Linked DNA regions of Diceros bicornis minor. The protein of the gene in region 4 interacts with the protein of the main gene of each other region in a biochemical or structural test. Links are inferred from orthologs where the notes say so. Each region holds a gene or a part of one and is shown on either strand. Other genes may lie near its edges. The genes, in order: HIP1, PACSIN1, HAP1 and HTT.

Region 1 (6,919 bases), on a different chromosome or scaffold from region 4:
TGGGGCACACACGCCAGAACCAGACACGTTGCCCTCAGGGGGGGGGGGCGCAGTCCTGGGGTGAGGGCTCCAACCTCCTGGTAATTATCCCGTTACCTAGGGACACTCCTGGCCCTTGACTGGAGTTAGTCAGAGGCTGCACGATTACCCACACCTGTGCCTTCTTAGGTCTCAGCTCCCCAATCACGTTACAGCAATCATCATTGAAATAGTGCTCCACAGTTTACAAAATGCCTTCACGTCTATTATTTAATTCCCACAATAAACCTGCCAGGTGAGTATTATCTTTATTTTACAATAAGGAAACTGAGGCTTAGAAAGGTTAGACAGGGCCGGCCCCTGTGGCTTAGCGGGTAAGTGCATGCGCTCCGCTGCTGGCGGCCCGGGTTGGGCTCCCGGGCCTGCACCGACGCACCGCTTCTCCGGCCATGCTGAGGCCGCGTCCCACATACAGCAACTAGAAGGATGTGCAACTATGACATACAACTATCTACTGGGGCTTTGGGGGAAAAACATAAATAAAATAAAATTATAAAAAAAAAAAAAGGTTAGACAATTTGCCTGAGGCTACTCAGCCTATCCACGTGCCCAGCTGTAAAACTCACCAACCTCTTCCAACTCCAATGCCAGTGCTCTGCCCAACACTCAGAGGCAACACAAGACAGACAGTGGTTAAAGGTTGGGACCACTTCCAGCTGTGTGACCTTGGGCAAGTCACTTAACCTCTCTGTGCCTCTAGTTTCTTAAAGTAAAATGTGGCTGACACCCACCTCATCAGTCCTTGTGGAGATTAAAGAAGGTAAAACAATAAAGTAATTAGAACAGTGCCAAACCTAATAATTAGTTACAATTATCATTCTACCTTGGCTGACTCTCATGGTCTCTTACCTCATTAAAATTTTCTAACTCATTTTTATATCTTATAATACATTTGATAGATAGTCATTAAACTAAATTTTTGCAGGTTGACTAAAGCTAAGTTTCAGGATGGTTCTCTTTTCTTTTTCTTCACTCTTCTACCCTCTAACAGTGTCAACAATAGAAACACTGTCTTTTCCTGATCCAGTTTACCTCCTCACCCCCCCCACACACAAGCCACTAGATCAAATCTGGCCAATTACAAGTGTCCCACAGAAAGCAAAACACTGGAAAACACTGACCTAGACTCTCCTTGTTCAGCTATCCCTGGATAGTGAGGGGATATGCCAGTCATGAGTGGAAACTGTCACAAACCTAATTTCCATCACTACAATGGGTCAAAGCTTTATGTGTATTTCTCTATTGCTCCAGTTTTTACTTATTTGAGACTCTAGAAGGAATGGGTTATAAAATAACACCTATTTATTTTTCTTTTCCATTAAAAAAAGAAGAACATTCACACTGTTTTCTGGAGCAAGAAGCCTCGTGTGACCAGGCAGCTAGTCGAGGCAGTAACACCCGTGGTGGACAGGCAGAAGGAAAGCTTCCTTCTTTTCAGTGGTCCAGGCCACAAAGCCAGAGAATAAGCCTCAAACCCAGCTGGACCCTGGGAGGCAGAAGTGAAAGGCCATCTCTCCCATCCTGCCTGGAGTAGGATGATCCAGGGAGAGAACACTCCCCACTTTACATCACCCAGACACCCTTGTAACCAGATGGGCCACAGGCACCTGGAAAGAAGAGGATGAAGTTCCCTGGGGGTGAAAAGCTTTATCCTCCGTAAGCTCCATATTTAGAACACTCGGGTCCTCACAGTCTTTCCTATCCAAAACCCCAAAGCCCTTCCCTCACGTGGTACTGTGTTTGGGGGAAGAAGGAGAACGCAGCAGGGGAACCAGCGCTGGCAGTGGTGGCCCAGCAGGGTCTCCAAAGGTCCCACTCTGAGAGCGAGAGCAGAGAACGAGCCTGCCCCCATGACCTGGGCACTAGAATTAAGAGAAGTGCTATGCCATTTAAAATGAACTTTGCATACAAAGAGCTGATGAACACCAGAAACATGTCAGCTTTATTCAGTCAAATCAATACACCAGGCATTAAAACTCTGAGGTAAAAATGGATTGTGGCTTTTTGTTGATGACACTGAGGAATTTTGGCCCCCAGCCCTGGCTGGACAAACAGGGCAGTCTGCCTATTAGCCGTCAGGCATATCTTGGGGGATGAAACCAAAACCCCAAGTTGGGGCTCCCGGCACCTCTGGGCAGCCCGTCCTGACCAGTGGCGGACGGTGGGGCCAAGCGCGTCAATTCCTGCCCCTGGCCGGCCCCCTCCTCCAGTCCCCAGTCATTTTCCAAGCTCGTCCACACTTCGCATTCCTACATTCCTTCTCACCGCTCAGACCCCTTTGGCCCGGCCCGGGGAGGCCGACAGCTGGGATGCTGTGTGCCAAGCAAGAGGCACCGGGAAGGCGGTGCTCGGGGTGGGGGGATGCCAGTGCAACCGAGAAGCGATCGCGAGGGGAGAAAAGGGCTCCCCATCCTTCACATCCCCAAACCAGCGCCCCACTCTCCGCCGCCACACTTGCGTCTCCGAGCGGCCCCCCAGTACGCTTCCCCTTCCATTCGGTCCCTTTTCGGTGCCTTCCCCTCTCACCTGCCCTGTGCCGCCGGGACCAGCCACCCTGGGCCGGGCCGCCCGGATCGTGCCGTTCCTCGGGGCCGCCCTGCCCTTTTCCCCAGACCAGCTGGGATGCCCGGGTCCCCGACCTTCCCGGGATCGCCTCGACCTGCGCGCCAGAGGCTCCCTCTCTCGGCCCCCCTGCCCCGTCCTCCCTTGGGCCTGCAAGACCCTTACTCCCTTCAAAGCCCCTCCCGGACGCTGCATCTCTCGGGGTGCCCTAGCCGTGCAAGCCCCGCGGTCCCCCGGTCCTCACCTGAGTCCGCTCGAAGCTCTCCCGTTCGGCCGCCTCCACCCCCGCGCCCGCCCCGCGCCGACTCAGCACCTTGGGCAGGGGGTTGGGCACCTGCTTCATGGAACTGGCCATCCGGTCCATGTCGCCGCGCGGATCCGAGTCGCGGCCCTCGGCCGCCCCGGGATCCCCACGGAGCCGCCCGGCCCGCCCCACCCGCTGGGATCCGGCGCTAACGGGACGGCCCCTGCCTCCCATTGGCTGGGAGCGCCGCTACTCTCCCTAGGCCCCGCCCCTCCCAGAGACGCCCCCGCCCCCGCCCCGCCCCGCCCCGCCCCGCGGCGCGCTCCGCCCGGCTGGGCCCTCGGGACCGCGAGGCGCGCAGCGACCGGCCCGGAGGCCTGTCCATCACCGGTCCGCGGCCCCCTGCGGGGGTGGGGCCTAGGGCTGCCCTGACCTGCCCTCGCCGCCCCTGCCACCGCGCCCGCCCGCGCCCGGCGCTTCCCCGCGAGCCACGCGCTGCTGCTGCCGGGGGCGCTGCGAGGTCCCGGCGCGGTGCGCGAGGGTCACGCTGGCCGCGGAGTCGGGCCTCCCGCGGGGGACCCGGACCCGCCCGGGAATGGCCTGTCTACGCTTTTCGGGTCGGGGACGAGAGAGGGCGGGATGGACCGGCTCGGCGGCCGGAGCCCCGGGAAGCGCTGCGCCCAGGCCCGGCTCCCGTAGGAAGGGCCAGCGTCTGCCCGACCTGGCGCCGTGGGTGGCGGCCCCCTACCCAGCTCACCTGCCTCCTCCCTCAGCCTGACCCTGCGCTGAGTCCCTGTCCATCCGCTTTGTAATCCTCACACACCCGGGAGCGCTGGGCCGGGTCAGTGGGAACCTCCTGGCATCTTCTTTCCAAACCCTACATCATCTTGACCCGGCCAGAACGTGTTCGTTGGTGGAAACCCCTGTGGATACTTTGTTTATCCACGGCTCCGGGCTACCCCTCCCATCCTGCTCAGATGTCAGCTGGAGGGAAGTGTGATCCCTAGCGGAGATGCTGAAGAAAGTTAGACGTTTTCCATTAAATTTTCATGTTAAAAAAATGCTTTGAAACTCAAAGAAAGGCATTAAAAATATTTAAACTAAGAGCTTTTTATAAAAGTTCACACATTCAACACAGAAGTGAAAGAGGGGGCGGGCCTTTGCAGGCGCTACGGAGCTACTGCAGGCTTTTGCACAGACCTGCGCTTTGCCGGGCTGGCATTGTGTGGACGGCATTGCGGGGCGAAAGGGCAGGGAGGGACTCTTCGGGGAGACTCCAGCAGTACGTGAGAGACCGAGAGGGCCTACCCCGGAATGGAGAGGAGAAAGTTTCCTCCTGTGGGCGGTTCTGTGAGGAGGCCCAGACAAAGGGAAATAGGCGGAGGGAGGAGGCAGCGGTGGGGCCGGAACTTCTGGAGAGGAAGGATTGAAGGGTGGCAATGTGATGGAGGGGAAATTGCCTTGAGACTTCATTTGCATAGCAAGCACACTGGTTTCACCATTACTGGAACTGAGGGCCGCGTTTCGGGGTGTTTAGGGGCTGTGATGTTGTATGAGTCGGAGCAGCAGCGGGGGAGGGATTGCACCCTGGAAGGGCTAATTGAATTGAGAAAGGAACTATGTGCAAAATTGTAACCTGGAATAAGGGGATCAGCCAGGGAGGGTGAAGCACCCGGGGATAGAACAGTGGGAAGCTGTTACCAGCCCTAGCCCTGAAGGGACACGGGGAGGGCGCTTACCGGAACCAGGTGCGAGCTCTAGTCTTGGGAGAGGAGGCACCCGACAAGAGCCGTGGCTTTAGGTAGAAACCCAGTCACTGGAAGAGCCCAATCTCTCTCTATCCCTCCCGTCCTCTGATTTCCTACTAGTGCCTCCCATTGGCCGAACCCAGGGGGAAGGAGGGCAAGGACGATCCGTTAGTACTACCCCCACCCCTCCTTCCAGGCACAGAGCCGAGTGGAGGCTGGATCTGGAGCAGCCCTTGGAAGTTCCCAGCCCAGGAGCTCACAGGACTATACCTACAGGGAAAACAGACAGGGTTCATCATAATATTACCTCTGTGTGCCCATTCTTAGTCCTGCCCCCACCTCATGCTCTGGACCCAACTAAAGAGTGATTTATGATCCTTTGCCCAGAGTTTATAGCTGCAATAAACAGGGGCCCTTTAAACAGGGATTAAGGGATCAGCCTACTCCTTATTAGAATAAACCCCAGTAGGAATCAGGAATTTGTGGTTTGGAGACACCCTGTGGAGAAAGACTCAAGCTAGTTACCTCTGTGAAACTCAGCAATAAAGAAAAATAAGGATTTCTCACTTGCTGCAGCAGCAAAACCCTTTGCCAAGGGTTGAGAGAAACCCTCCTCCAGGATGTAAACTACAGGACTCTGCTAGCTTCTTTCAGCTCTTACATCTCTCCCAGCAATTTAGGGACCATTTGTCTTATGCCTTCTCAGGATGCCCGGTTTTCAGACGTGGAATCCTGATCTCTGGGAAACCCACAGAGACAGACCCACAGATATATAGTCAAGTGATTTTCCACAAAGGTGCAGGCAATGCAATGGAAGAAAGATAATCTTTTCAGCAAATGGTGCTAGAACAATTGGATATTCATGTGCCAAAAAAAAAAAAGAACCTCAATCTTTTCCTCACACCATATACAAAAACTAACTGAAAATGGATCATAGACCAAAGTGTAAAAACTAATACTATAAAACTTATAAGAGAAAATCTTAGTGACCTTGGGTTTGGGAAAGGTTTCTCAAATACAACACCCAAAGCATGAAGTATAAAAGAGGGAAAAATCAATAAATAGGACTTCTCTTTGCTCTTCGAAAGAATGCTATGAAAATGAAAAGGAAGGCACAGACTGGGAAAGATATTTCCAAAACATTCATCCAAAAAAGGACTTGTATTTAGATTATGCCAGGTATACATTTTTTAAAATTATTCTATTGAGGTCATATTGGTTTATAACATTGTGTAATTTCAGGTGTACATTATTATATATCAGTCTCTGTATAGACTGCATCGTGCTCACCACCAAGAGTCTAGTTTTTATCTGTCACCATACATGTGTGCCCCTTTACCCCTTTTGCCCACCACCCTACCCTCTTCCCCTCTGGTAACCACTAATCTGTTCTCTTTATCCATGTGTTTATCTTCCACATATGATTGAAATCATATGGTATTTGTCTTTCTCTGCCTGGCTTATTTCACTTAACATAATACCCTCATGGTCCATCCATGTTGTTGCAAATGAGACCGTTTGGTCTTTTTTTATGGCTGAGTAGTATTCCATTGTATATATATACCACATCTTCTGTATCCATTTAACAGTTGATAGGCACTTGGGTTGCTTCCACATCTTGGCTGTTGTGAATAACACTGCAATGAACATAGAGCTGCATGGATCTCTTTGTATTGTTGATTTCATGTTCTTTGAATAAATACCCAGTAGTGGGATACCTGGATCATATGGTATTTCTATTTTTAACTTTTTGAGAAATCTCCATACTGTTTTCCATAGTGGCAGCACCAGTTTGCATTCCCACCAGCAGTGTATGAGGGTTCTCTTTTCTCCACACCCTCTCCAATGTTTGTTATTTCTTGTCTTGTTAGTTATAGCCATTCTGTTGGGTATGAGGTGTTATCTCATTGTAGTTTTGATTTGCATTTCCCTAATAATTAGTGATGTTGAACATCTTTTCACGTGCCTATTGGCCATCTGTGTATCTTCTTTGGAAAAATGTCTGTTCATATCCTCTGCCCGTTTTTTGATCAGGTTGTTTTGTTGTTGTTGTAGTTGAGTTGTATGAGTTCTTTATATATTTTGGAAATTAACCCCTTGTCGGATATATGATTTGTAAATATTTTCTCCCAGTTGGTGGGTTGTCTTTTCATTTTGTTCATGGTTTCCTTTGTCTTGCAGAAGCTTTTTAGTCTGATGTAGTCCTATTTGTTTATTTTTTCCTTTGTTTCCCTTGCCTGAGTAGATGTGGTTTCAAAAATATGCTGCTGAGACCAATGTCAAAGAGTATACTGCCTACATTTTCTTCTAGAAGTTTTATGGTTTC
Region 2 (7,857 bases), on a different chromosome or scaffold from region 4:
TCTGCCCACGACCATGTCTTCAGTATGAAAGATTATTATTAGTGAACCACACTTCTCTATTGCTCAAGACACAGGAATTAAAAACCAAACCAAAACACAAAATCTCTGTGGGATGTTGAACTCGACCCTCGCCATTGTCTCAGATGTTCTGCCTGCATTTAAGGTACAGCGCCACTAGGTGGCAATGGTGTCCAGGCCACTGAGGCCTTTCCAGAGCAGACACTCTAAGGACAACCTCAAATGTCCTCCCTTTTTGTACTTTGAGAGGCGTCACCAAAGGACCCACTGAGCCTCAGTTTCCTCATCTGTAAAATGGGGGTAATGGTACTAAATGAGATCATGTAAAATCCTCCTGTGCACAGTACGACTCTCAGTAAACACGTGCTTCTTTCCTAGCTGAGTGATCAAGAGCATGCCTTTCAGACCCAGACTGCTTGGTTTTGAATCCCAGCTCCACTACTTACCAGCTGTGTGACCTTGGGCAAGTTACCTAACCTCTCTGGGCCTTAGTTTCCCTGTCTTAAACAGGACTAGTAGTCGTACCTAGCCCCATAGCTTATATGTGTAAAGTGCTTAGAAAGTGCCTGGTCCAAGAAAAGTGCTCTGGGTTTGCCATTGTCTGTGTATGTCCTGGGGTGACCCGTCTTTTGAGCATAGTCTGGGTCCTAACTCAGCACCTCCCAAGATTGAGGGCCTTGTCAGGATGATATGTCCTCAGGGTGTTTTTAACCCCCTTGGCATGAGTCACGGACAGAGAAAGCCACAATTCCCAGACTCGGAGCACCCAGGTCTCTGGATTCAGGGCACAGCTGGCAACAGCCTCTGTCCACTAGGCAGGCGACGGAGACCAGTTTGCAAGTGTGACGCCAGCAGGTGGGAAGAGGAGAGAGCAGAAGGGGCTGCGAGGCTGTTTTTAAAGTACCTTTGTCTCTTGGGGGTGTCCTACTCACCTCTGTGCATGCTGCTGGGGGGCAGCTCAGAAAACAAAATGCCATGGGGCCCCTGGGCCAATCGCTTCCCTGCTCATCCTTCCCCACCTCGGGGCAGGTTTGCGGGGGAAGTAGAGGAGTCTAGTGACCACAGCACCTGACCAGAAGTCAGGAGATCCGTTTTTAGCCCAGCTCTGTCACCAACGCACTGTGTGACCTTGAACGAGTCACTTTTCCTCTCTGGGCTTCAGAGTCCTGCTTTGCCCAAATCAGGACACACTCCCTGCCCTTCCTTTCCAACCAGAGATGTGGTGAGAATAGAGAAGCCTCAAAACCTCACCTCCTCCTTGAAGCCTTCCATATCAGATGGAACAAAAGGGAATCCAAAGCTTCCCTTCCTCCCTCCACCTCTTCCAGGCTAAACATGAGATATTAATCACCAATCCGCTATTTGATCATTGATTGATTGATTCCACGTGCTCCTTCAGGGCTGGGCTGTCCTCCTGTCTACATGTCCTTTCTGTCCTGTCTGCATAGGACAGAAGGGGAGGGCTGTGTCTGCCTCCTTGCTCTGCGTGACACGGAGAGTCCAGCAGAGGAGGCTTCCGATCGAAGGATGGCTTGGGACTCTCGGTGGGAAGGAAGGTGCCGTGGAATCCCAGATGGGTCAGAACTTAATGGTACTGAGAAAAGCGAGTTGTTGGAGATAAGAGATGTGAAAAGTGCTGGGCAAATGGGAGAAAGTCTTATTGTCTGGACGGGGCACAAAACAATAAGGGGGGTATTTAGCTTTGATAGACATAAGTTTTGAAATCAGAAAATCTAGATGGAAGCTAGTTTAGTTTTAGGAAGCATGGAAGTTCTGTGTCAATTTCCATAATAACATATGACATATTTTTTGGATTACACATGGGCAGGGATGTGAGGGGGGATGTGTTTGCGTGTGTGTGTATTTTCCACTCTCTTTTTTTTTCAGGGCTTGGGTCTGGTAAGGCCTTAATTCAATGCCAGGCATACCTCAGCTTCGAATGGAGTAAGTCCAGCTTTCTGCTCCCTCACCCCCTCTCCCCACCACCCTGCCCCCTCACCATCATCTGCCTCAACGGGTCTGCCCCTCTCCTGCCCTCCCCACAGCTGCCCCAAGCGGTCCCAGCTTCTGTGACCCTCCAGCCTCTCTTAGCCCTCCGCATTATGAGCCCATCCCCTGTACGCCTGTACCCTTCCCACTCTTGCCATCCTCCACCAAGGCCTGGCTGCCAAGGGACACCTAGTGTCCTATGTCAGTCATTGTCTTGTGATCTGGACTTCACTGCCTTTCCAAAATTTACCAGTCCCGGGCTCCAATCCATCTACATCACAGCCCCTGATGACACATTGAGCCAGGCTAATGTACTGCGGCGGGGGGTGGTGCAGATATTTTAGTCTATCCATCCTAGATTGCACTTTAAGAGCCTCTTGGGGAATTAGCCTCTTCACATTAAGAAAATTCTGTCTAATGGGAATTTCACAGCGCTGTGGTAGACCAAAAGGGGAGAGATTGGGGGTGCATGTAGTTAATGAGAATAATAGATACTATTTACTGCACACCTATTAGGTTCCAGGCACCATGCTAGGGGCCTTGCATCCTTTGTCTGATTCCAAGAACCCTAGGAGGCAAGCGTAATTATCACCATAAATACAATAAATACAACAAAATGAACTGGGTACTTATGTGCTAAGCAGTTCACCTGGGTTGTCTTGTGTAACACTCACACAGCCTGTGAGGTACGTGCTGTTGCCATTCCATTTTCCAAATGCACAGATCGATTAAGGAACTTGTCACACAATTATTAAGATAAGGAGGCTGAACCTCAGAGGGGGTAAGTAACATACCCACTTTTACCCAGCAAACAAGCAACTGCGTGAAGTCGATGTTTTTCCTCCCGTATGCCCATCACTTCTCCTCCTGGGGCAATGCGAAATTCCAGGTTGAGGTGAGGGCAGCTGGCACCAGCAACTTCCGGGGTGGGGAAAGAGGGGGACACCAATTCGACAGCTCGACACCAGCATGCCCCTTACATGGAGGGTGTCCAGAAATGCTCCAGGACCCCAGTCCCAGCCACCTGCCAAACGTCCCCTGGCTTTGCTGGCCTCTCCCAGTAATCCTTCCCTGCCTCCTGCCCCATCTGGCTCATCAGAACCCCAGCTAGGGCCGGCCCTGTTGCTTGACGGTTGAGTGCACGCACTCCGCTGCTGGCGGCCCGGGTTCAGATCCCGGGCGCGCACCAACGCACCGCTTTTCCGGCCGTGCTGGGGCTGCGTCCCACGTACAGCAACTAGAAGGATGTGCAGCTATGACATACAACTATCTACTGGGGCTTTGGGGGAAAAAATAAATAAATAAAATTGAAAAAAAAATTAAAAAAAAAAAAAGAACCCCAGCTATTGTTCAGCATCCCCATCAGAATGATGCCTCCTCCAGGAAGCCTTCCCGGATGACCCTAACCCAGAGCCCTCTGACCTTCTCTGGAACACTGACCACTCGCTTGGCTGTCCTGTTCATCCTTGGGGTAGATACTGTCATCTGGCCTCCCCAACTAGGTGTCGAGTTCCTCTGGGCTCTAACACCTAGTATGCAGTCAGTGTTCGGCAAATGCTTATTGAGTGAATAAATGCTGCACTTGGGCATTCTCTTGGGTCACTGGGACCATGAATTTCAGTGCCTCCGGTGAGGGAGGAGGGAGAGGGAGGGCAGGAAATATAAACGTGTGACCAGCCTAGGTGCCAACAATAGGGAGTGGTGAGGTCTGTGGCCGGCTAGTCTGCACATCTACCTGAGGGGCTTACCATCAAATTCAGCCACCCTCACTCCCCACAAATAGCTGGGACCTAATCTCGCCCTGACCACCCTCACTTTCTTGTCTTTTTTCTACCTTTATTTTCCCACTCTGTGCAGACCACTTTAAAATATCCTCTCTATGTTATTTATTATATTTAACATCTGCGTTCTCTCACCAACGTGAACTAGGTGAGGGCAGAGACTTGGTCTGTTTTGTACTCTGCTGTAGCCCAGCCCCTCCCCAGTGCCGGCACATAGTAGGCCCTCAACAGACGAGTGTTGAACAAATCATCAGCTCCTGGCAGGTTTCTGCAGTGAAGAGACTGGCCTACTCCCCCCTGCAGGGTACAGGCTCCCAGAAGCGCTCAGGGTTCAAGGCGGGAAGAGTGAAGGCCGTGGGGAGTCACAACAAGCCCCCCAGAGAGCCTCAAGGAGATGGCCTGGAGTCTGTCTTGGTGACAGCAGGTCCAGCTGGAACTAGGGCAGGAGGGTTAGTGAATGCCCCCATGGGGTCAATCGGGCACTTCTGGACGAAGCTAATGGGGGGGGCTAGGCGGGGGGTGGTAGTGGTGGAGAGGGACCGTCACTCCAGAGCACGCCCACACACACGCAACCGCACGGACCCGAAGATGCAGGATTAGGAGAGGCCAGAAAGCGACTGACGGACAGACAAGGCCGGAGGAATGTCCAAGAAGGCGGCGAGAGGGCAGAGAGGGGAGGGGAGCGGCACCCCCGGGTCCACAGCGCGCTGCAGGAGGGCTGGGGAGGAGGGCGCAGGGCAGGTGATTCTGCACCCGCCCGCCGCAGAGCCCCTCTGCCCTCCGGGAGCACCTCCCAGAGGAGGGCGCGGGCCTGGGAGCTGGGGGAGCGCCCCCTCCGCCCCGCACCCCCGCCCGGCGCCTGCCAAGCGGGTTGCTGCCTCCTCAGCCGCCGCGGCGCGTCCACCTGCGCAGACACGCGCCTCCCTGCGCCCGCTGCCATTGGCTGGCTAAAAATGCCTCTCTAATCTGCGCGCATCTGTGCACGCCTCCTTCCTCCTCCTCTCCCCCTCCTCCCCGGCTCTGACCTTCCTCCTTCCCGCAGCCCCGGCGCGAGCCGGAGAGACGCGGTGGCGGCGGCCGCTGCACAGCCTCCTCTGCCCGCGGGAAGTCGTCCGGGCTTGAGGCCGGGCCCCAGACGCCCCGCTTTGCCCCGTGGCGCCGCCGATGGTGCCGGGCGCTCCTGCCCCCAGGTAGGGGGTCTGGCCCTGGATAGAAGGCGGGGAGGAAGGGGTCCAGTTAGGGAGTGCGTGTTCGCGGTGGGCGCAGAGGCTGACATCTTCCCTGCCGGAGCGTCGGGGTTGTGGGGGAGATTGGACAGTTACCTGGAGAGAGGTGAGCGCGCCAGGGCATGCTCAGCCTCTGGGTCCTCATAGCGAGTTCTGAGCAAATCTCATGACTCCTTCGTGTGGAGGTGCAAACCCAGGCCCGAGGTGCTTTGCAAGCGCCGGGGTTCTCGGGCATCACCCGGGCTGTGCCAGGATGCCCCTGCTCTGGGCCCTTGGGAGAGGGAGCTGGCGGCGGAGGCTTTTACCCTGGGGAAAACGCAGGAAATAGGTTCCTTGGGAAGCTGGGACCCAGGACCTGGGGGTCCGAGTCTCTGGCCTGGGGTGTTCCGGTAGCAGCAGGGCGGGTGGGCTGGCGCCAGCTTGGTGCGTAGGCTATTTATGGATCAGAGTGGGCTGGGGAGAAACCCAGCAGCTGATGCGCTCTGTCCCCTGTCTGGTTTACAATTAAAGATATTTCTTCTGTTCCTCTACCCCTTCCCCCACAGCTGGGATGGGAGCGGTGAGAGGAGAAGGAGGTGACGCTACGCGGCCCCCAGACACAGCAGAAGCCGTGGTCTGTCTGGCATTGCCCTCCTCTCTACCCCCCAGGCCCCTCGCTGCCTGTTGGAGCTATCTCTCTCCCTTATTTCTCCCTTGCAGGAGGCGGTGAAAAGCTTAAAAGGTCATCAGGGTGTGAGCGACACAGTGGCAAACCCCAGGGCTTGGCCAGACTCAGCTTCAAGCCCCAGCTCCTCCCACCCCCCACCCTGCTCTGCACCCCACGTGCAGTGACACATGTGGCCGCTTTTCTCTGGGCACAACCATAAATAACCCACATTGCCCTGGCTCTGGCACAGCGGGGTGCAAACAGAACTGTCTGTCAATGATTTGGGAGGTTCTGTCCCTTACCTGCTTGGCCTTCCCATCACATCACTGGTCCAAATCATCACTCACAAGCCACCCCCTCCAGGCAGCTTCCCTGATAGCCCAGGTGAGATCCTTGCCTCCTGCCCTGCCTTCTCCCACCTAGTCTGCCTGTGGTTTGGTTATTTATGTCTTGTCTGTCGCCCTCTAGACCTGAAGTGCCTTCAGGGTAGGAATCTGTCTGATTCATCTCTGCCATTGACCCTGCACCTGACCAGGGTCTGGCACCAAGTAAATGTTTGCGGAATGAGTGAATGAATGAACTTGAACTGTGGGAAATAGCTGGCAACCTGAAGGATGGGGCTGAGCCCCCTCTTGGGCTTTTCTTCCGCACCCCAAGACCAAAGAGCCACCAAAAACAGTCCCATTTAGGCCCTTCCTGGACCTGGAACTCACGGGCACCTGTGGCATTTGGAGGTAAACGCCGCAGTCCCGATGGCTCCACACCGTCTTTTTGGGCCCCTGGTCTGAGTGCCCTGGCCTGGTCCAGGCTTGGCGGAAGGCCCCAGGTGAAGCTGTGGCTTTCCTCAGGCCTCTGGGTTGGCGCTTTCTCCCTGGCTCAGCTCAGATCAGGGGTCTCTGTCTCTGTGCAGACCTTGGGGAAGTGCAGGTCAGCCTCAGGGAGTCTGGGAAGGCCTGAGCCAGGGCATGCTCAGCCTCTGGGTCCTCATAGCGAGTTCTGAGCAAATCACATGACTCCGTGTGGAGGTGCAAACCCAGGCCAGAAGAGGCTGCCACCGCAGGTCCTGGGTCTGTGCCAGATGTGGACATTTGCAGAGCTCTCTCCCAGCCCGAGCTGATAGGACATCTGCAAGATGCTCTTGTCCTCGTCTTACAGAGAGCCAGGGCGGCACTCAGTTCCTGGCTCCAGGTCCAGCGCTCCAGGTCCAGCTCGAGGGTGCTACGGCTGGGCCACAGACCCAGGTCAGAGTGCCTGGTTGTCCTAGAACCCAGCGGTCCCTCCTCTCTGGCTCTGGCCTCGCCCCTAGTGCTGGAGAGACTCAGGGATAAGGGAGAGGTGCCTCAGGGGTGGAGGGAGGCGGGTGGGGGAGGCTTTAGTTAGTGCCTGCAGGTAGTTGGCCCTGGGGGCCTTGAGGGCAGGGAGCAGTCCTGACAGTACAAGCTAACAGTCCGCAGCAGTTGTCATGTGCCAGCTCCTGTTCCCACTATTTTTCATGTATTAACTCATTCAGTCCTCACAGTAGCCCAGTGAGGTATGTACTGTTATTGCACCCACTTTATAAATGAGGAGTCCGAGGCACAGAGAGGTTATCTATCCAAGGTCACACAGTTTGGAAGCGGAGGGGCTAGGATTTGAACCCAGGCTCCAGAGTCCATGTTCTTAACCTGTATTCCCTATCGCAAGAGCAAGAGGGCTATCGACCTAGCTGCTGGGGGCTTGCTGTCTCCGTGGAGATTGAGGCTTCAGGTACTCTGTGCTAAAGTTCCTGCACGGTAGTATGTGCGTGATTAAGTGTGACTGTGACCGGTAGTATGTGCGTGATTAAGTGTGACTGTGACCGTTGTGGATGCTCAGAATAATAACACCCATATCAATGGGTATCCTTGAGCAGGAGAGTGGTCTTTATAAGATGCACATCTGAGTCTGTCACTCTCCTGCTCTGCATCCTTCAATGGCTCCCCCTTGCCCTGAGGACAAAGTGCAGTCTCCCTAAAGTGTCCCTGCCGCTGTCCCCAAGCCTGGGCTTCCTCTCCCTTCTCACCCGCCCTCTGCCCTCCAGCTGCTCTGAACTGCTTTCAGTTCCTCCAATAAGTTATGCTTCTGACACCTGCAGGCCTTTGCATAGGCTGTTCGCCTGCCTAGAACACTCTCCCCCCTCTTCCCTACACGTTCCTTTTCACCCTCAGGGGTCACGGAG
Region 3 (7,124 bases), on a different chromosome or scaffold from region 4:
CAGCTAGGAAGTGCCAGAGGTGGGACTGGACTTGAACTCAGGTCTCCAAGACCTGAGTTCTTCCCTCTGCTCCCTGGGACAGCCCCCACCCCAAGTTACAATTTCACGTACAAAACTGCTCCACACAATCCAGAATGAGCATCTGCTCCTCCTCCTCAAGGGCATCGAGCTGAGAGGCCTGGAGGAAGGGAGAGAGGAAGGGGCAGGGGAGTCAACACCCCCTGCCCGCGGGCGCACCCTCCTCCCCCATCCTCACCTCCTCTCTCAGCTGGTCATTCTCCTCCTCCAGCAGCCTCAGCTGCTCCTGCAGGGCTTCCAGCTGTGGGCAGTGGTGCAGCGACTCCGACTCCGTCAGAGGTGTCCTAGGGGAGAGAGCGATGGGAGTCAGAGGGCAGGACTGGGAGCCCCAGGGCCCGGTGCACCCAGGGCTCCCCCACCCGGGCTGAGCATGGTGGTCTCAACCAGCCCCAGCAATCCTGCTGGCAGGGACGCTGTCTGTGTCCCTATTTGCAAACAAGGAAACTGAGGCTCAGAGAAGGGGCCGCTCAGGTGCAAAGGCAGGGCACTCACAGCTCGGGGTCTTCATAAGGAAGATCACTCTGCTGCTCTTCCTCTTCCTCCTCCTCTTCCTCCTCCTCTTCCTCTTCCTCCTCTTCTTCTTCTTCCTCCTCCTCCTCCTCCTCTTCCTCCTCATCATCAGAGTCTGAGTAGAGCTGAAGGAGGTCATCCCGCAAGCTCACCTGGTGTCTGAGGTGTAAAATCTGGCAGGGGGAGAGGAGCCCCAGGTCAGGCCGCGGGCGGGGCAGGCACGGGTCCTGGCAGGAGGGGGATGTAGGTAGGTCTGAGATGGCATACCCCTACCCCCTACTCCCTACCCAGTTACCTCCTCCCTGGCTGAGCCCAGCATGGCTTCCAGCTTGCTGTTCTCCTCCATCAGAACATTGTTCTGCTTCACCAGGGACTGGCCGATGCGAGCTGCCGTATTCAGGTCCCGCTCTCTCTGCAGAGGGACCCCCCCATCCACAGGGAATACTTTCCTGGTTTCTGAGATCTCCCAGACAGGTGGGAGAAGCTAGGGAGTACACAGGCGTCAGAGGGAAGCTAGGCCACTAGGGGGAACCCTCACCATCTCGCAGCTCTCCAGGGTACTAGACAAGAGTCCGCCGTTAACCCACTGTGGGGCCTGACTCAGTTTCCCCTTATGAAAAAAGAACAGATCAGACCAGAGGGCTCTAAGAGCTCTTCCAGCCTGGACATCCCACATCGACCTGCCTTCTGTAAGAGGGGCCCCCAAAGAGGCAGCCAGGCAGGAAACAGACAAGACTCCTACTCCTACAGGACAGAATTAAAACAGGGGCCTGGCGAAAGCTCAGGCTGGTCCAGGTAGGCCAGGCAGTACAGACCTCCTCGAGCAGATTTAACATCACTTGCACATCTTCTTGGCTGATCTTCTTGCCTGGCGGGGGTCGGTCAGGACACAGCACTGCAAGAGAAAGCAGGCAGCCAGGTCAGGAGAAAGGGGGCATACACTAACCAGTACCCCACTGTTTCCTGCCCTATCCCCAGTTCTCCCTCAACAGTGAGAGTCAGCAACAGGGGAGGAGAAGACTGAGTTCCCTTCCTGCCCCCAATATCCTCTCCATACCCCTAGTACTCAGCACTCCCTTCCCTGCTCCCAGGGCCAACTGGACTCATTTTTTTTCTGGAGGAGCTGGGTGAGGTAAGGAGATCACAGTCCTCCAGGCTCAGGCGGAACTGCGCTCTCAGGACGCCTGGGTCCGTGGAACCCAGGAGAATGGAGGTGGCTGGCGGAAGTACCACAGACTGACTCATCACCAGCTACCCAGAGGGCAGCTTGGCCAGCTCATCGGAGCCTCACGGATCATAAACACAGACGCAGTCTCCCACCCTGCACCTGTTGCATGTGGGGAGGAGAGGAGTTAGAGACTTCTCCAGCACTGGAATAGGGGCACCTGAGCCTCTAGACCCAATCCAGAGATCTCCCAGAAGAGGATGGGAGGGAAGAGGAGGGGCAGACTCCGCCTGAGGCCCCGCCCAACCCCAGGCTGGGGAAAAGCCGACCTTGACCCCCGCCTCCAATAGGCTGGCAACCCCCCCCCTCCTCCCACACACCTCCCCATCGCGGGCGCGGTGGGCCAGCGCAGGCTCAGAGCGCGCCGGGCAGCGCCCTCCCGCAGCCCCCCGCCCCGCTCCTGGCACTGCGGTAGACTGAGGAGGGGGGCCCTGAGAGTGCTCAGATCTACCGCAGCAACAGGCGCGCAGAGCGGGCCGAGGGAGCGCGCGGGCCCGGGCACCTGACCCACCCACAGAAATCAGGGAGCGAGAGAAGGGAAGAGGAGATGGGGAAGAGGCGACCGGACTGGCACCGCAGACAGTGACACGGCGAGGGCGGGTGGAGGGGTGGGACTGAGTGTCGGGGGAGCGGGGCACCTGGACCCGACGGGGCCCCCTCCTCCCTGGAGCTGCCCTAGTCCCACTCGCTTCGGGGTCCAGAGGACTCGGTTTACCTTCCTCTAGCTCCCGAATAAAGGCGGCACGCTCGGGGCCCGACACCCCCGGCCGCCGGCCAATGTAGGCAGCTGGCGTCTTCCAGATGTCCGCCGCCTTTCCAGTGCCCAGGCCAGTGGCCCGGGGACCAAAGGGCCCTTGAAATATGAAGTGGGTCCATGGCACATCCGAGTCGCCGGGCACGGACTGGGCATTCCCCTGGACGGCCGAGAATGCAGATGCGCGCTGGGATCCTGCCTCCGATCCAGCCTCGGAGGCCAAGCGAACTCCGGCTGGGGGTCCCGAGACGGATGGGGATCCAGATCCTGCTCCTTGTCCAGCCGCCGCTGCGTGCGCAGGAGCGGCTTCAGGCTCGGCGGAGGGCTCAGGAGCGGGACTGGCTGCGGGTGGCAGTGCGGGGGTGGCTGCTGCCGGATCCCCGGGTCCTGGGCCCGGCCGGTCCCCAGCGCAGCTCTGCCCACAGTCTTTCGGGCGCATCTTGCTCCGCAGTCGGCTGCCGCAGCCGGGCCTTTATAACCTGTGCCGGGAGCGCGCGCCCGCCGGGCCTTACCACGCGCGGGAGGGGCGGCCGAGGAGCAACTAGTGGTGCCCGGGACGGGGGGTAGCGCAGGAGGGCAGCTAATGGTGGCAGAGCAGAGGGTAAAAACAAGAGAAGAGCGAGGAGAAGAGGCCAGTGAAGGTTCCAGCTGGTTCCGTGGGCTTGGGTTCCGAGTGTAGGGCTTTTCCTCCCCTCTCCACCTCCGGAGAATGGTTTTGCCCAAAGCCGCTTCTCCGGGATTCGGGTACAGCGACTCGGAGGTCCCTAACTGGGGGCACCCTCTCCCTCTGCTCCCTTGCAGGGGTTTTTGACTGCCTTCTCTGGGTCTGGGCCGGGGTGACCTGTGAGTTAGGACAGTATTGTGTCTTTCCCCTTGGCTGAGGGATCAATCCAAACTCCTGTTCGGTTTCCACGCGCTGCCTGGCCTGGCGCGTCACAAGCTGATCCTCGCGCTCAGCCTGACACCGACCCCCACCCCCACCCCCACCCCCACCCCCGCGCGCTGGAGCCACTGGGCAGTCCCCCCCCCCTTTTTTTTTTTGTGAGGAAGATTGGCCGTGAGCTAACATCCATGCCCATCTTCCTCTACTTTATATGGGATGCTGCCACAACATGGCTTAATGAGCGGTGCGTGGGTCGGCGCCGGGTTCAGGGCCTGCGAACCCCCGGCCGCCAAAGCGGAGCGCGCAAACTTGACCGCTATGCCACGGGGCCGCCCCGACAGCCCCCTTTCTTATTTATTTGTCTTACTGCCTTTCCTCCTGCTTCACCTCCAGCCCTCATTCACTTTGCCCACTTCCTTCCATCCTGGGGAACACGTGTTCTTCCGGCAGACCCCGCTTAGATGTCTCCCTGAGAAGACTCCTCTGACCCCGTCTCCCACGCGCCAGAGCATTCCTTATTCGCTGGCCGGCAGTGGTCGGAGTGTGTTTGTCTCCAAGAGCAGACTGCCACCCTTCACCGCAGGGAGCGTGTCCATCGGAGCGCAGCACAGACCAGATACCTACGAGGGTCGCCGTAAGTCCTGCATGACCTGTGGGCTGGCAGAGGAGTCCAGTAGCCATTTCTGTGCCTTTGGACTGGAGGAACCTACAGGCCAAAAAGAGATGGCTGTGGCTCTGAGTCTTTTAAAGCCTTGGGATCATTCTCGGTCCCCCAGTTTCCTTCTCTTCAATACCCAATCACTCACCAAGTCATGCTTAATTTACCTCCTAAATATTTCTCAAATGTGCCCTTGCCTCTTCAGCCCTTCTGCTGGTGAGGCCTCATCCTCTCTTCTAGATTATTGTGATACTCACCTCTCCCCCCAACCCCACCCACGTGAATCCATCTCTAGTCCATCCCTCTCATACTCCTGTCTGAGCTAAGGAATTCCAGGACCCCTTCTCCACAGCCACCACTCCAAGCCTGAGCCCAGGACAGGCTGTTGCCCAAGGTCTGCACCTAGGACAGAGGGTCCTAGTGCTGACAGCATGCCTTTGGGGCCAGGTGTCCGTGACAGCACAGAACAAGAGACACAACCCAGGAAGGAGAATCAAAGTGCCCCCTCCACCAGCTCTCCTATGGAGAAGCACTTGGAGAAGAATGTTTCCGTCTGTCTGAGCTCGTTAATTCATTTGACAAACGTATATTAAGTGCCTCCTCTCTATACCAGGCACTGTCCTAGACTCGCAGGCCAGAGCAGGAAACAAGAGAACCAGACCCCTACTGTCCTGGAGGTTAGAGCCTAGAAGGGGAAGCAGATAAACAAGGAAACAAGATAATTACAGAGTGTGGTGCGTTCTCTGAGAGAAGCAAACAGGGAGCTACCGTTGAGAAAAATGGAAAGTACCCATCAGACCCGGTGCTCTGGGTGGGAGGGGAGAAATCACTAATGGCATAGGATTTTGCATCTCAGCCCACACCCCCGGTCTTCGGTCTTCGCAGCCCACTCATCCCTGCCCCCCTCAAATGGCAGCCTCTCTCCTCAGGAGCCAGCGTTTCTCATTCCTGATTGGTGAGCGAACCCTGGTACCAATTCGCCTCCCCAGCCCTAAATCCCTCACACCTGCATCAGCCCTGCAGGGATTCACCTCTCTATCAAAGGGGCAGTGCTCACTAGTTACGTGGTTTCTGAAGTCAGGGCTCCAAATGCAGCCCCCTCATGGGCAGGGAAATAAGGAAGTGGCTCCCCTGGGGAACTCAAACTCCTCCCAACCCTTGCCCACCCTGACCCCTGCTCCCTCTTCTGCTCCTCCTCCCATACAGGCTCCAGGGCACTTCTGCCAGGTGGTTAAGGGTGGCTCAGGCCAGAGGCCTTGGATAAACAGATGGGACGTCTAAGATCCACAGCTGCTCTCTATGCTTTTCACATGCTGCCCTTTTTTATGGTTCTAATCTTTAGCAACTTTAATATTTGTTAGCTTCATTTCTTCTTTCATCTCAACTCTTCTCGGCCCCCTAAATTATCTTCCAATAATTATTCATTCAACAAACAGTTATTAAGCACCTGGTGCCAGGCATTGTGGCAGGTGCTGGGAACACATCAGTGAGCAAAACAAAGATCTTTGGCCTCATAGGGCCCACATGCAATGGGAGCTACAAATAATAAACAAAGGAGTAAATCACATAGTGTATTAGATGTGACGAGTGCTGTGGATTAAAAGAAAGCAGGGAGGAGGGCCTGGGGGTGGGGGGTGGGCTGTGGGTTGCAAGTTTAAATATTAGGGGGGTCAGGAAAGATCTCACTGAAGAGTCACTAAGTCCAGAGCTGAGGGAGGGAGGGAGCAAGGGAGGATATTCACCTGGTGAGAAGCAACAGCAAATGCACAGCCTTGCAGCCAGAGGAGGTCAAAATGGCTAAAATGGAACAAGGAGACGGGATTGTGGGTGATGGGGTCAGGAAGGGGGCAGCAGGGCCGATGGACCACCTTACCTGAGTCCGTGGAGGGCTTTTCATCACAGGAGCGACACGATCTGACTTAAGTTTTAGCAGGAAGGCTCTGGCTGTTCGGCTGAGAATAGACAGATGGAGGGGGGGTGTCTTAGTCCCTTCAGACTGCTATAACAAAATACCAACAACAGAAATTTATTTCTCACAGCTCTGGAGGCTGGAAGTCCAAGATCAAGATGCCAGCAGATTGGGTGTCTGGTGAGGACCTGCTTCCTGGTTCATAGACTGTTGTCTTGTCTTCCCCTTGTGTCCTCACGTGGAGGAAGGGGTGAGGGAGCTCTCGGGGGCCTCTTTTATATGGCCACAATTCCCGTTCATGAGGCTCCACCCTCATGACCTAATCACCTCCCCAAGGCCCCACGTCCTAATACCATCACACTGGGGATTAGGATTTCAGCATATGATTTGGGGTGGGGTGGGGGGACACAAACATTTAGTCCATAACAACCTTATAAGTCTTTTTGAAAAATTGGGCCGGCCCCGTGGCTTAGCGGTTAAGTGCGCGCGCTCTGCTACTGGCGGCCCAGGTTCGGATCCCAGGCGCGCGCTGACGCACCACTTGTCCCGCCATGCTGAGGCCGCGTCCCACATACAGCAACTAGAAGGATGTGCAACTATGACATACAGCTATCTACTGGGGCTTTGGGGAGAAAAAGGGAAAAAAAAAAGGAGGAAGATTGGCTATAGATGTTAGCTCAGGGCCAGTCTTCCTCAGCAAAAAGAGGAGGATTGGCATGGATGTTAGCTGAGGGCTGGTCTTCCTCACAAAAAGAAAAAATTATTAAAAAATTAACAACTTTGGGCCGGCCCGGTGGCTTAGCGGTTAAGTGTGCGCCCTCCTCTGCTGGTGGCCTGGGTTCAGATCCCGGGGGCACACCGACGTACCGCTTCTCCGGCCATGCTGAGGCCGCGTCCCACATACAGCAACTAGAAGGATGTGCACCTATGACATACAACTATCTACTGGGGCTTTGGGGGAAAAAATAAATAAATAAAATTATTAAAAAAAAATTAACAACTTTATTGAGATATAATTCACATACCATAAAATTCATGATTTTAAAGTGTCCAGTCAGTGGTTTTTGGTATATTCACAGAGTTGTGCAACCATCACCACTATCTAAT
Region 4 (7,942 bases):
CCTGCTTTGCTGTTCCTCCTTCATTTACCACCATCTAACATACTGGTATCTATCTTGTTTGTTGTCTATGTCCCTCACTAAAATGAAAGCTTCACGAGGGCAGAGCCTGCACATATTAGATGTTCAACAAATATTTACTGACGAGTGAATAACTAAAGTCAGGGGAAAACTAGGTCGGAATCTGAAGGAGAATGAGAAAGTGCCAAAGACAAATGTCAACTGACTCATAATCACAGTTAGGACCCTCCCAAGCTCTGGCACTCCCCTGCATGCCAGTCCCACCAGAAGCCCTGCACTCTATATGCTGAGCCGAGAGCAGGCACTCAGATACTTCAGCTGAAGCCCACACATGGCTATAACACTACACTTTCACACAACAGAGAGCAAGAGCCATAAAAATAGAACAGATACTATCTAAATTGCTTTTGGCCAATCTTACTTTGGGGAACGGATTTTTCAGCTGAAGCATCTGAACAGAAATGCCAAGATCCAAACATGTAAGCAGTGAGTTTGTTACTCAAAATTAATGAATATCTATTTTCTCAACAGCAAAGTACATAAAAATATATTTGTGTATTTTATTTAAAGTCACTATAATTAAGCCTAATGCAGTTTATTTCAGAGCATGCTAAGAACTTTTAAAAGTTACTATTCTGAAATACTTTTGTTTTTAAATAATTTAAAATCTATCTTCACTTATGCACAGATTATATCCAGAAGGAGACAAAAGGGGGAAGTATAACAGTGCTTGCCTCTGGGAACAGAGTTAGGTACTCAGGAGAAAGGAGTGGGGGAGAGAGATTTTAATTATTACCTTTTTGTAATTTTGGAATTTGTATCATGTTAATGTATTACTTATGCAAAAATAATAGATTAAATTTTTAAAATAAGTCCATCATACATTACCATAAACTAAAGTAAAGAAACAAAATCAATCTACTTTGTCAAGCTGGCTTTAGAAAGAAACTTCTTTATACCCATATTTTGAAGATGAGCAAATTCAGGTTCTCTCAAATCAGCATAAGAAACAGAAGGCATATTTTTAGATTGACCAAGTGTTTGAACAAGCCACCAGTGACAACAGTTAGCTCTTCCTTCCCACAGAGCCCTGCTTAGTGCTTCCCCGTGTAATCTACACAAAATCCATGCAATGTGTGAACTTCCATGACATCCACCTCCTGCAGACGCAGTACAATAAAAGTCTGGAATGGGTTATGATTATAAATTACCTGCTGTAAAGATAAGTCCAATTCCTAAAAAAAAAAAAACCTCTACGTATCCAAACAGGTTTTTCCTCTTACAAGAAAAATTAATTTATTTCTGAATTTTACTCCAACAGATAAGCCAACATTACTCCTCAAATTCTCATTTTTTAATTAAACTCTCAGGACACAGCAAAGATCGTATCAGAAACACAAAGAACAAGAAAACATTACTAAAAATGAATCAGTTTTAATAGAGTGAGTTTCTTAAAGGGGTTGCTTCTTGAAAACTATCCTCATTAAATGCCATCTTGTACATCCCCAGATCAGAAATAAAATGCCCTGAGATGAGAGAAAGGCCTAATCTCTGCTGAACACTCAGCACACCAAGACTTCAGGGAAAAGTACTTGGGTCCTGTTAGAAGGTGCTATTCATGGTTTCTTCTGTTTCAAAAATTCTCCCAGGCACAAGCCACAGAGACCCCTAGCTTCCAAACAATGCCAGAATGTCAGCAACGAAGGAAACAGACGTCCCCGGGGTCTGCAGACACCCACGTTCCAGCAAGCTGGACTACAGTACTGCACTGGTGAAATGCACATCCTTCACCCTCCAGCAATTAACCTCCCCCTCAGCCATGGGTCGTTTTTATTTCCAACTGAAAATAGGCAAAAAACTTCAGTCAACTCTTCCTAATATCTAAGTCAATTTTATTATTTCTCACTTGTTAATAATAACCGTCTAAGTAGCTCACCACTTATGCACTTGGCAACCACAACTCATTCAAGTGCTCGCATACCAGCTTGAGCTTAGACAAGCGGGTCTCTTCCCGATGCTTAAAATCCTGTTGCTACCACTGGCATTCCCGAACTAAATGAAATGTCTTGCGAATGTCACAGGCTGTTTAAAGGGCCCCTGGAAAAAGAATCTCCATTGGGCCGCGTCCGCACGCCCCCGCCCTCCCAGCCCCACGTCCTAAAGCCATGATGTCATGCACTATCCCCACATCACTCCAGCTCCAATTCCTGGCTCCTCGCGAAGCGTCCTGCGCCCCCAGCCCTCCTCCCTCTCAACTAAGAGAGGGAAAGGAAGAGGCCCAGAGGAAGCCAAACGAGACGCGCTCTCGGCTCTTCCAACTTCTGCTCACAACACAGCCCCAGTTTCTTGCAAACATAAAGCAGCATGTTCCTTCCCCAACTTCGCCTGCCGGGGAAGGCAGAGGACAGGGGCCGAGACCGCCTCGGTGGCGTCAGGAGGGCCAGCGAGGCAGTGCCTGCCCGAGAAGGAACGAGACCCGCGAGGCGCCGGGGAGGGACACGGGACCGGCTCTCGCAGCGGGAGGGGCGTGCCCAGCGTGTGCCCTCCCTGCGCTCGGGGCCGCGGGGTGGCCGTGTCGCCGCGGGGCCGGGTCTGCAGGGCCGCCGCTGTCCCCGGCGGTCGCCGGGTGGGGAGTGCAGGGGCCCGCACTCACGGTCGGTGCAGCGGCTCCTCGGCCGCGGCTGGGACGGGCGGCGGCAGCGGCGGCGGCTGCGGCTGAGGCGGCGGCGGCTGAGGCGGCGGCGGCTGCGCCTGCGGCGGCGGCTGAGGGGGCTGAGGCGGCGGGGTATGCTGCTGCTGCTGCTGCTGCTGCTGCTGGAAGGACTTGAGGGACTCGAAGGCCTTCATCAACTTCTCCAGGGTTGCCATGGCGGCCTCCCGCCCCACGGGGACAGCCTCCGGAGCCCACGGGCCCGCTGACGGCGCCGCTCAGCAGCGCGGCAATGAATGAGACCCAGGGCCGCAAGCAGGGGAGGAACCCAAGCGCTCGGCCATCTTGGACCCGTCCCGGCAGCACCCGCTGTCGTGCGTCCCGCGACGACTCGCCGGCGGGGCGGGGCCAGGCCGGACCGGCGGGATTGACAGCCAGAGGCGGCAGCCTCCACCAATGGCCGGACGCGGCGCCGGCCCGCCTCCCGAAGCCGCCGCGGACGCTGAAATCACAGCGTTCCTCCCTGGCGAGAGCACGGCGCGCGGCGGGGCCCGGCGGCGGGGGCGGGGCCCTGCTGTGAGGGGCGGGGCGGGGCGGAGCCCGGCGGTGGGGGCGGGGCGGAGCCCGGTGGTGGGGGAGGGGCCCGGCGGTGAGGGGCGGCGCCCTGCTGTGAGGGGCGGGGCACGGCGGTGGGGGCGGGGCACGGCGGTAAGGGGAGGGGCGGAGCCCGGCGGTGGGGGCGGGGCGCGGCGGTAAGGGGCGGGGCGGGGGGGGGCCCTGTGAGGGGCGGGGCCCGGCGGTGGGGGCGGGGCCCGGCGGTGAGCGGCTGGGAAGCAGACGCTGCTGGGAGGTGGGGGGCCAGGCGGCTTGAGAATGAAGAGGGAGGGAAGCTACAGGCAACAGGCGCGACGCTGAGGGGGTGAGGGTCGAGGCGCGGTGGGGAAGGTGCCCCCTCCTCGGGAAGGAGCACCCCTCGAAAGAAGCGCCCCCCTCGGCAGGAGCCCCGGCCGACGCCCGGGGTCGCAGGGAGGGCCGGCCGTGGGCCTGGAGCCTGGAGACCCCCGCGGGGGGCGCCTGCCCACCCAGTGGCCGGGCCGAGAGAGGGCCTCACCGGGACAGCCCTGCGGGGAGCGGGTCGGGCTCCCCTTGCGAGGAGGAAGGGGGAAGCGAGTGCGCCCTGCACAGAACCAGAGGACCCTACGGTTGGCGGAGACCTGCGGGATTGGTCCTTCGGGGCGGGAGCCCACGTGTAGCCCCCAGAGAGGAGGGGCCGTGGAGGCCGGGGGCCAGCACCTCCCGCAGTCTGCAGCCCGAGGGGGAGGGGAGGAGAGGGGCGGGCGCCGTGCCCGGAGAGGCTGTGGCTGTGCAGTGAGAAGCGGCTTTGACCCCAGAGACGTCCCCCACCAGAATGACTCCCCGACCAAGAGTCTCCCCTGCAAGGGAGAGGACCCCTGATCCACAAAGTTCTGTGGGCATCTCCTGCCTCGGGGGATGGGAGGGCAGGCCGGTAGTGAGAGGGTCCAGTCTCCAGAGCCTCACCACCTGGGGGGAAGTAAGTGAGCAAGCAGAGGGGCACAGAGGATGGTGGGGGCCTCCGGGGCAGCTGTCCCACTTGCAGGGCAGAGAGTGCGTTGGCTTCGGAGAGAGCCGCCTTGGGGAGAGGTGATGCGGGTAGTGATGGACCCTCCAGAGCCTGCTCAGGGCTGCACCCTGTCCTATGCCAGAAGCCACATCTCTGCCTTCTCTCAGAGCCTGTCGGTTGTCCCAAAGCGGTCAGGTAAACGGAAACCCAGCATCCCCACAAGAAGCGTTGTCCCCAGGAGGATGGCAACAGCCCCACTTCAGGGGAAGGACTGCAGAGAAACTTGCCTTCAGCCTTGAGGTCCCAGTGCCCTGTCGTTAATAAAGGCCCTTCTGCCTGGGGCCAGGCCGTGTGCCAGCCCTCGTGCAGGGCAGGCCGCAATGGTGATGGCCAGGCTCCAGGCTGTCGGGTGCTGGGGTCCACAGACTGCTAAGACTGCCCCTCCCGGTTCTCACACCTTGTGTAGTCCCCTCCCCCTGACTGTGGGCTGTCCCTGGTGGCCTGCTTCTAAGTTCTTGCTGATGAGAGGTAAGCAGAAATGATGTGTGTTAGTTCTAAAAGTCTCCTTATAACGGAAGAGAGACACTGTCTTCTTCCTGCTGCCTGGAATGGGGATGTAGAGGTTGGCACTCGAGCAGTCATTTTGGGTCATGAGGATGTAAGCCACATCCTAGGATAATGGAGCTGGAAGGAGCCAGGGCCCAGATGACTGGGGGGAGATGCCATTCCAGCCTGGCCTGTCTGCCTCTGAACTTCTCACAGATGAAAATCTGTGAGAGAGAAATATAATTCTATGTTGTTTAAGCCACTGTTACTTTGGATTATTCTGTTTGTATGCTCCTAAATCAAGTTCTGACCAGTCCAAAGAGGTTATGAATCCTTGAGAATTTATATGACCACAATAGGTCATGGCTGCTTCAGCCATGGCAGGAAGAAAGTCATGGGCCTGGAATAATCCTGATGAGAAGTCTTATAAGAAAGCCTTATAGAAAAGGGACTGTCAAGAAGGCAGATTTTTAAATTCAGAGAAAAGCTTAGCATAATCCAAAACAGAGTAAAGATTTACACAGCTGGGTGGGCAGTTTGGCCTGGTTTCTCCAAAGCCGTAGAAATGGGCACAGTCCCTGAACAGCAAAGACACTTCCAGTAACTTACCCTAGGAAGACAATCATGTGTGTGTGAGGGTGGTCATTCATCACAGCAACATGTAGGACAAAAAATGGGAACAACATAAATGCTGGACGGAAGGAAAGAGATGGCTAAATGAATAATGACATATCCACATGACAGAAAACTGTGCAGTCATTAAAATCCTATTTTGAAGAGCAGTCACGACACGGGAACGGTGGGCAGTGCATTAGAGATGACACTGTGTATACCATGATCCCCCTCTTTTATTTTAAAGAAAGAAAACCACACATATACATAGAAAAGAGACCTGTCACCAGGTCTATAACAGGGACTGTCTCTGGGCAGGGCAATTACAGGGAATTTATATCTTAATCTGTGTGCTTATCTGTCATTTTCAAGTCTTCAGCAATGAACATGTACTATTCAGGGGGAAAAATATTGTAGAAAAGGTTTGGGTGGGGAGCTAAAAATGAAGGCCTAGCAATAGACTTGTGAGTGGTCCTGCTCAGGACGAGAGGGAGATATTTAAAGCAGCCTGATGCCCCCCCACAAACGGGGTACACTCCAGCTAGGGGGCTGGCACTGCCCTGAATCCAAAACCAGGTGGGAGTCCACAGCAGGTGAGGCCCGGGCAGGGGAAAGAAGGGAACGTGAAGCAGAGCCAGGGAACAAGATGAGTGGACAGGCAGCTCCTGAGGGGGATTTGGTGGTCCCCTGCCGGTCATCCCTGAGGGTTCCTCCCAATTTAGAGGGTATTATTGCCACGTATTGTAGTTCTACATAAATACACATATTGCAAAAGATAGTAATTGTTGTTTTGAACAAAGTTTAAATTGACTCCCATATTTACCATTTTTATTACTCTTCATTCTTTCCTACATCTCTGATTTTCCACCTAGGATCATTTTCTTCTGCCTGGAAAACACCCTTTAGAATTTCTTTTTATTGGATCTTCTGTTGCTGAAATCTCTCAGTTTCAGTTTATCTAAAAATGTCTTGGGTGGCACAAGCGGCTAAGTGCGCGCGCTCCACTGCAGCGGCCCAGGGTTCGCCAGTTTGGATCCTGGGCACGCACCGACGCACTGCTTGTCAAGCTGTGCTGTGGCAGTGTCCCATATAAAGTAGAGGAAGATGGGCACGGATGTTAGCCCAGGGCCGGTCTTCTTCAGCAAAACAAGGAGGATTGGCAGGTGTTAGCTCAGGGCCAATCTTCCTTACAAAATAAAATAAAAATGTCTTTATTTTGCCTTCATTCTTACTGGATTTTCAGTTGGGTGTAGAATTCTAGGTTGGCAGATGCTTGCTGTCAGCAGAGTAAAGATCTGGACATCACTGTCCTCCGCTTTTCATTCCTGCGGTTGAGAAGTCACTTGTTGATTTAATGGTTGCTCCTTTGTTTGAAGGCAATGTGTCTTTTTTTTCCTCTGGCTGCTTTTAAGATTTTCCCTTTGTCTTTGGCTGACTGGAGTTCCACTGTGCCATGTCTGGGTGTGTAGAGAGAGACCAATCAGCTTTTCAGAGGATGACCTTGGGGATCCTGTTCAGTGATCTAGCAGCAGGCTGCCCAGCAGGAAGGGCTCAAAGGGCTGGCAGACAGCAGTCCTGGAAGTTCTGGACCACGTTTCCCTGGTGACAGACGTCTGCCATCAGGATGTTCTTTTCACAAGCAGAGCCATTCCACACAGCCTCAAATCTACCATTGCTGCACATTGGCCAGGTGCTACCTGTCCCCTTCCAGTCCCGCTGTAAATGCACAGAGTGACAGGGAGCAAGGTCCCTCTCCTGGGTACTGCCTGTGGTGTGACCAGCTGGGCCTGGAGCTAACACAACTCTCCATGGGGTGATGGGAGCTTGGGAGACAAGTGCTGCTTCTGATGACCCTCTGCCTCTAAGCTTCTCGTTAACTCCAGTTCATGCCTGTACCGTGAGTGGTTCAGGGTTTCCTGGCTTGGTTTAACAGTAGGATTTCTTTTCATTTAATCTGCTTGGAATTAATTGGGTTTTGAATTTGTGGATTGATGGCTTTCATGTTTTGGAAACCTCTCAGTCATTATCTCACAACAGTGCTGCTGTCCCACTCACCCTCTCTCTTCCTAGTGTTCCAGATAAACCTAGATTAGATATTCTCACCATATCCTATCTTCTATTTTCCTTTTTTTTTGCCTCTCAGTGCTTTATTCTGGATTGTTTCATCTGACTTATTTTACTAGTTCTCTTTTTGGCTGATTCAACTGTTGTTAAACTCTTGTTTAACCATTAAGCCCTGAAATTTTGTAGTTTTCACTACAAGAATTTATACTTAACTCTTTCTAAAGTATGCTGTGTCATTTTTTATATTTTGTAGTTCCCTGCCAAAATTATCAGGCTTTACAAGTTTTCTCCCTGAACATAATAAACATAGTTGTTTAAGAGTCCGTTTTTCATATATTTCCATTATCTAGAGTCTCTGAGGATATGTTTCTCATGTCTGAAGTTTCTGCCAATTCTCATTCATATTGCCTCATCTCATGTGCCTGGTTATCTTCAACTGTATACTGGACATTGTATTTGAAAATTATTAT

Evidence for each region.
Region 1: the proteins of HTT (region 4) and HIP1 form a complex in vitro, tested with the Homo sapiens proteins (2 studies listed by BioGRID). The link is inferred for Diceros bicornis minor from reciprocal best matches to the Homo sapiens genes HTT and HIP1.
Region 2: the proteins of HTT (region 4) and PACSIN1 form a complex in vitro, tested with the Homo sapiens proteins (2 studies listed by BioGRID and IntAct). The link is inferred for Diceros bicornis minor from reciprocal best matches to the Homo sapiens genes HTT and PACSIN1.
Region 3: the proteins of HTT (region 4) and HAP1 form a complex in vitro, tested with the Homo sapiens proteins (4 studies listed by BioGRID). The link is inferred for Diceros bicornis minor from reciprocal best matches to the Homo sapiens genes HTT and HAP1.

What each region holds. Positions count from the first base shown.
Region 1 is NC_080765.1:3,064,037-3,070,955, forward strand, and holds the start of HIP1 (huntingtin-interacting protein 1), read right to left. Parts: upstream 3,001-6,919; 5' UTR 2,966-3,000; coding exon 2,846-2,965; intron 1-2,845. UniProt on the Homo sapiens protein: Plays a role in clathrin-mediated endocytosis and trafficking. Involved in regulating AMPA receptor trafficking in the central nervous system in an NMDA-dependent manner. Regulates presynaptic nerve terminal activity.
Region 2 is NC_080753.1:30,148,435-30,156,291, reverse strand, and holds the start of PACSIN1 (protein kinase C and casein kinase substrate in neurons protein 1), read left to right. Parts: upstream 1-4,839; 5' UTR 4,840-4,978; intron 4,979-7,857. UniProt on the Homo sapiens protein: Plays a role in the reorganization of the microtubule cytoskeleton via its interaction with MAPT; this decreases microtubule stability and inhibits MAPT-induced microtubule polymerization.
Region 3 is NC_080757.1:41,022,961-41,030,084, forward strand, and holds the start of HAP1 (huntingtin-associated protein 1), read right to left. Parts: upstream 3,007-7,124; coding exon 2,529-3,006; intron 1,484-2,528; coding exon 1,404-1,483; intron 1,073-1,403; coding exon 884-1,072; intron 762-883; coding exon 571-761; intron 363-570; coding exon 257-362; intron 179-256; coding exon 112-178; intron 1-111. UniProt on the Homo sapiens protein: Originally identified as neuronal protein that specifically associates with HTT/huntingtin and the binding is enhanced by an expanded polyglutamine repeat within HTT possibly affecting HAP1 interaction properties.
Region 4 is NC_080747.1:2,405,886-2,413,827, reverse strand, and holds the start of HTT (huntingtin), read right to left. Parts: upstream 3,011-7,942; 5' UTR 2,887-3,010; coding exon 2,672-2,886; intron 1-2,671.